Linked DNA regions of Arabidopsis thaliana. The protein of the gene in region 1 interacts with the protein of each later gene in a pairwise test. Each region holds a gene or a part of one and is shown in the gene's direction. Other genes may lie near its edges.

The links.
Region 2: the proteins of ZFP5 (region 1) and GATA23 interact in a two-hybrid assay, tested with the Arabidopsis thaliana proteins (one large-scale study listed by BioGRID).

The regions. Positions count from the first base shown.
Region 1 is NC_003070.9:3,447,991-3,451,867, forward strand, and holds ZFP5 (zinc finger protein 5), read left to right. Parts: upstream 1-1,700; 5' UTR 1,701-1,743; coding exon 1,744-2,379; 3' UTR 2,380-3,236; downstream 3,237-3,877.
Region 2 is NC_003076.8:9,477,399-9,480,758, forward strand, and holds GATA23 (GATA transcription factor 23), read left to right. Parts: upstream 1-2,025; 5' UTR 2,026-2,193; coding exon 2,194-2,334; intron 2,335-2,441; coding exon 2,442-2,663; 3' UTR 2,664-2,802; downstream 2,803-3,360. Other genes in the region: CBP60G (Cam-binding protein 60-like G), read left to right, coding at 1-7, 104-455, 560-1,050. UniProt on the Arabidopsis thaliana protein: Transcriptional regulator that specifically binds 5'-GATA-3' or 5'-GAT-3' motifs within gene promoters.

The DNA.
Region 1 (3,877 bases):
TTGATATAATATTACAATTTCTTACTTCAAAATTTTAAATAAAGGACCTGAGCGAGAGGAAAGAGGCTTTGATTGCATGAGACACCTATTGGTGGCAAGAAAGTCTACCAATCAGAGATCTTAGGTTGTACGAGTGAATATAATTATAACACCTAATAAGGATTAATTATTGTTATTTCACTTAATTGTCTTGATCTATCTTTTAAGTTACAGAGCAGTGGGGTCCTTAATTGGAACAACTGTCCAAACCAAATGCCATTTCATTAGACTTATTTGTATTAAAATAAGATTATCCCATGACTTGATTCACCTGAAAATAGAATAATCTATACCTTTCTTTAATATCAGTTTTCTTTCTGTATAAAATATTGTCTTCTCATGCTTTATGAAGATTTGCCCAAGATCTTGTTTTGAAGATTAGACTTATGAATATAATTTTTATTTGTTAAATAGTATAGATGCTTGCATCATTGCCCACTTCTTGTATTCCTTCATTTGGCAACTAACTATTCTCCCTGTTTAATGTAATAAGTAATTAACATTCATTAAACATGGTCAAGATAGGCTTTTTCTTTCTTTTTCACAGTAATTAGACAAATAAGATTTGGTTTAGGTGGAAGACATTGAGATAAATTACAAGAAAGCTTCAATTCATGCTCCATCATCAATTCTCTCTGCGAGCAACTTTAATTGATGGGAAATTTCAAAAATCTACAATGATAATTACATAAAAACACATCAATAAAAAGAATATCCAGTAGACTATTAACTTTGTTAGAGAACAAGGGACGACGATTCGTTTGATTTCGTTCTTGTTGCAATATGCTCTTGAGTGAACGTTTTGATACAAAATGTCATCTGCTCGCTTAAATTTATGATGGATATATGCGTTATTCAAATACATAGTGAAATTTAATATCATTATGGGATCAAAATATTATACTTAACCTTCCATGTTGATTATATTTTTTGGCCTAAGTTGGTTAGCCTTATTTCTTCATATCTTTCTTTGACTTTTGATATTAGATCAATAATATGATATTAACATCTTAATGTTCTCTTTAAGCTTAGAATATAACTTTTGTATTAATTGTCACAAGTGGTGTGATCGCTGCATGCCTTTTCAAATATATTTATTTATTCATCATATCTCAACTTAATCTAACTATTTTATTCACGCACTAAACAGAAAGTATTTTTCCACAATATTTAAAATAAATTAAATTTGATCAATTTTAAGTAAATGTAGATATAATAGTATAATACATAAGATAAAAGATAAAACAAGTTGACAAGTTAAGTCTTTATATATAGTATTTAAAAGATTTCTCTAACCCGTTTTATCATTTTGCCCTTTTTCTTTCCCATATATGCATATGCGCGTGGTATCCACATATATCTCTATAAAACCTATTACATGTTAGTGTAATATTTATTGTACCTATCAAGGTTTATTTTCCAAGATCATTTCTCGTCACACCTTAGATTCAAACAACTAATTTTATTATAAACCCTAAAATACTATAACTTGATGCTGTTCATGACTAATATAAAAAACCCTTCATACAATATAAAATTTCTTTAGACATACAATATATTATACTATTACAGATGCAATGCATCATTAGTTACAAACTATTAAACTAAATATCCCCCGTCTCTCTCTTGCTATATAAAGAAGATCATTTACACATCTCCTTAAGCAAATTAAACCCATCGATAAACACATACGTTCACACATATATGTCTATAAATCCGACAATGTCTCGTACTGGCGAAAGTTCTTCAGGTTCGTCCTCCGACAAGACGATAAAGCTATTCGGCTTCGAACTCATCAGCGGCAGTCGTACGCCGGAAATCACGACGGCGGAAAGCGTGAGCTCGTCCACAAACACGACGTCGTTAACAGTGATGAAAAGACACGAGTGCCAATACTGCGGTAAAGAGTTTGCAAATTCTCAAGCCTTAGGAGGTCACCAAAACGCTCACAAGAAGGAGAGGTTGAAGAAGAAGAGGCTTCAGCTTCAAGCTCGGCGAGCCAGCATCGGCTATTATCTCACCAACCACCAACAACCCATAACGACGTCATTTCAGAGACAATACAAAACGCCGTCGTATTGTGCATTCTCCTCCATGCACGTGAATAATGATCAGATGGGTGTGTACAACGAAGATTGGTCGTCGAGGTCGTCGCAGATTAACTTCGGTAATAATGACACGTGCCAAGATCTTAATGAACAAAGCGGTGAGATGGGTAAGCTGTACGGTGTTCGACCGAACATGATTCAGTTCCAGAGAGATCTGAGTTCTCGTTCTGATCAGATGAGAAGTATTAACTCGCTGGATCTTCATCTAGGTTTTGCCGGAGATGCGGCATAACAAATTAAAGAGAGATATATGATTAAGATTATATGTACTATAGTGGCGTATTTCATTGGGATCATGAAGGGGAAAAAACGAGACATATAGTATTCTTGATGCAATTTGAGTTTTGTAATTTATTTAGGTTTATGTATGTTTTCGAAGAAAAAAATAATTCCAAGTGATGTTGTGGAATTATTCAAAAAAAGAAAAAAAACTTTATTAGATGGCTTTACTAGAAAATTCTCGATCATCATCGTCATCCGATACAAAATAAAGTCAGGTAGAGGATCGAGCATTTATAAATTATGGAATAACAATAAATCGTACTATGGAAGCAAATCATTTTCTTGTTCCTTAGTTTGCTGACCGTACATATACTAGTTGACAAGGTTAATCCATAAATCTCTTTGTATCATTGTGTGCTGTGTTTTTTTTTTTTTTTTTTTAATACTGTGTGCCGTGTTGGTGCATTTGCGTAATTGATGGAGGCAACATTTTGAACATAATCACTTTCTTGTTGCTTAATTAGTGTATATGGCCATGGGTACGTTCTTCCTATTGGTACATATGCATGTATTTATATTACAAGGTGAGTATTCGTTACAAGTTGTGTACATATGTTCTTACACGTGCAATTCGTACACGCCTCAATTTGATTTATAGTCAAATTTCAAAAAATTTGTTAGAAATTTCATCTCAAAAGTTATAATATGATCTAACGTGAGACTAAAAAACATATGTGAATTTGAATGATATAAACTTGATGTTTTTTTTTAATAACCTATATACTTATTGTAGGTACAATCCAACGATTTTATGAATGTTGTATTTTTTTTGTATACACTGTAAAGACGATTTTATGTCATGGCTATTAATATAAGAATATACATTTTAAAAATAAGATTTTAAACTGATGTCTCTTACCAATCTCAAGACGAGTACTTGTGATTCTTCGGAGACAATGAGAAGAGTTTGTAAATTCTGAATACTCCTTAAACGAACAGAATAAGTGAATTTAGTGGTGGATATAACTAGCTTGACTTTAGATCTTATTCTTTCAAATAGATTTGGTGTAAGATTGATTCGACATTTCCCATTAAATCTCCAAACAAATATGTGCATCAATTCGTAACTGTACAGCTTTAAAAATACATATAATAAATGGAGTCGGCAGGTTTGTATATTAAATTAATTTGCGTGATTGGAATGATAAGCTTAAGATCCATCATCCAGTGTTGGAGGTCCCTTTAATTTTTGTCTACACATGTCACTTCCGACACCAACGGAACTCCATTTGCTTATGTGTGTATTGGATGCTTATCCCATTTAATTAAAAAAAAAAATGTTTTTAAAAGGTATTATTCCTTTATTGTCCAATTCGTATGTTTCCTAATTTTGGTAAATATGTTTTTGTTAAGTTTGAAACATCGTTCCTTGCATTACGTATGAGTAAATCATACACGAGCGTATGACCGAGTTGGAATTTACGTAATGACAGATAAATTTGTACATT
Region 2 (3,360 bases), on another chromosome or scaffold:
ACACAACGTAAGATTATCATTGATAGCTAAATAGCTAAAATGAATCTTGATGTCTATAATCTTCTTAACCATTGACAAAATTGTTTCGTTTTTTATTTAACAGATAATTGGTGCAGGGGTCTCAAAGAAAACATGGAACACAATTGTATCACATGCCATGGATTGCGTTTTGGACGAAACAGAGTGTTACATTTACAATGCAAACACTCCGGGCGTAACACTTCTCTTCAACTCTGTTTATGAGTTGATAAGAGTGTCATTCAATGGCAACGATATCCAAAACCTTGATCAGCCAATTCTAGACCAATTAAAGGCCGAAGCTTATCAAAACCTTAACCGCATTACAGCGGTTAACGATAGGACCTTTGTGGGTCATCCACAAAGGTCCTTACAGTGCCCGCAAGATCCTGGATTTGTCGTAACATGTTCTGGATCGCAGCACATCGACTTTCAAGGTATACAATATGTAATGGTCATGGTGTTAAGTCTTTTGATATATCTATATCTTACTATAGACTAATTAATAAAAAAATTGATGTACCTTTTTTCGAAAATATAGGAAGTTTGGATCCATCAAGCTCTTCGATGGCTCTTTGCCACAAAGCTTCAAGCTCAACGGTCCACCCTGATGTCCTGATGAGTTTTGATAACTCATCAACCGCGAGGTTTCATATCGACAAAAAGTTCTTACCGACTTTCGGAAACAGCTTCAAAGTAAGTGAACTCGATCAAGTACACGGAAAATCACAAACTGTTGTGACAAAAGGTTGTATAGAGAATAACGAGGAGGATGAGAACGCGTTTTCTTATCATCACCATGATGACATGACCTCAAGCTGGTCACCTGGTACGCACCAAGCCGTTGAAACGATGTTTCTTACCGTGTCTGAGACGGAAGAAGCTGGAATGTTCGATGTTCATTTTGCAAACGTTAATTTGGGATCTCCAAGAGCCAGGTGGTGTAAGGTTAAGGCAGCTTTCAAGGTTAGGGCAGCTTTTAAGGAAGTCCGGAGACACACAACTGCCAGAAATCCGAGGGAAGGCTTGTAAGAACTCTTGCCTACCTATTAAAATCAGCGGTTTCTTGCGTTGCACGATAAATGTGTATATATATTTGTGAATAGGGTTAGATAAATGGATCCCGGCCATTGAGTTACGGGGATTAGCCTTTGCGTATATCAAAGTATTTTTTTCCCTGGGTAAGTATAGCTGTGGCACAGGGTTTGTAAGTTGTAACCATATGCCGTATAAGAATCAGAGGTTTCTTGTTGTACACGAAAGCTATGTATAAATAAAAGCTATGTATATATGTTTTTTTCTACCATAACTTTTCAATAATGGATCTCGGCTATTGATTGTTCTAGACCAATATGATACATGAATAATCTTTGCGTACACCTAAATTTTATAGTGAAAAATACATAATTTTAAAACTTTACTTTTGTAGAGATGCCTAAAAAAAAATGGTTTACCACATGGACATTGTTATTTGTTCAGATCTCCAACGTATAGCAATATTTGTGATTTATAGATATGTAATTTGGTGTTCAAAGAATGTGTAGAACAATTATTCTTATGGGTATGCCAAGAAAAGTTATATAACTTTATTCTATACTGCTTTCACGTTAAATAATGTAACATTATTAATGTTGTCCTTTTACTTTTCCTTGAATTGATTTGGGAAGAAGACTATTGGCTTCCTTATCACATCAAAAAGTCTATGAGTAAGTGAAACATTGGCTGGCTTTTGCTTCATTCCTTTGTCTCTGTCTTCATGTGAACAAGTTTGCAGAAATTTGTGGTTTCTTTTTTTACTTTCTTTTGTCTAATACACACACTCTCACCACTATTATAAAGAAAATCCATAGATCCCGGTCGTGCGTACTGCCACTTTGCTTTCCACCCGACAATGATTTGGGAGATGTTTTGTTTTGTGTCATACATCTACCAAAAAAGTCTTAATCATTGTTCATCAAAAGAGCGCCCAAGGGCTCTTTCGTCTTCTTACCACACGCACACTAGTTCGAGAGGGTTTTTAAGGAGCTCTTAAGCCTTTCTTGATGACTCATACCACGAACAAGAACCAATCTTGTCACCCATATAATCTCCGTATTCAGAGAATTGAAGAGTTCTTGATCACTACTGTTGTATCAAAAAGGAACTCTAAGAACTAAGATTGTTTTTTTTTATTTGATGGATCCAAGGAAGCTACTATCTTGTTCATCCTCTTACGTGTCAGTGAGAATGAAAGAAGAGAAGGGGACAATTAGGTGTTGCAGTGAGTGTAAGACCACCAAGACACCAATGTGGAGAGGTGGACCAACTGGTCCTAAGGTCTCTTCTTCTACCTTTAATTACTATATTCATAACTTTGTTTGATCTTAAGATAATTCATCAAGTGTTCTTAAGTTGTTTATTTTGATTTGTGGTGGGATTTGCAGTCACTTTGCAATGCATGTGGAATTAGACACAGAAAACAGAGACGATCAGAGTTATTGGGTATTCATATTATTCGCAGCCACAAAAGCTTAGCCTCCAAGAAGATAAACCTATTATCATCATCACACGGTGGCGTGGCGGTGAAGAAACGAAGGAGTCTAAAGGAGGAAGAACAAGCTGCTTTGTGTCTATTGTTATTGTCTTGTAGCTCTGTTTTGGCCTAAGTCAAAAAACAGAATATCTCTCGCTAGAAAGTTAAAAAAACACAGTTTTGTCCTCTCCTTTGTTGACGTTCTATATCTATTTTGGGTCACTCTTTTGAATATGAATAATTTAAGATTTAATGAAATAAGTTGGGCCTAACTTTGTGTCGAAAGGCCACAAATGAATTTTAAATAGATTGGAGTATTTCTGTTTGGGCTTTACATTGACTTGGTTGGAGATGGTCTTAGAGTAACTTGAATAAGATCTTCACGTAGATCATCACTGCGAGACGAAATCGGGTATGGACTGATCTGGGTGATCATGCTTCTCGGAGTGCAACATTTCAACCGAAATCAGATCGTGCTCGAATACTTTTCATAATGTACCAAACTATAAAGTAGGGTGATGAAATTTGCCAAAAGTGGAAACATGTCGACCCTTCTTACTTCAAGCCACGTAGATCCGTATTTGTCGGATCGGGTCACAGATCCGAATAAAACGGGTCTCTCTCTCTCTCCCACTCTCCCTCTCACGCGACCTGTTTACTTCAATCTCAATTATGCTCTCTCCCTCTCTCTATTAAACAGTCGATTTCTTACAAAAATTCTCACTTCCGTGCAAGCAAATGCAGTCTTGTTTCGAGTTTGATTCACACAAGGCAAGTATCTTCTCCTCTCCGATTCATTTTCTCCTTCTGGGTCATTTCGATTCTCTGTA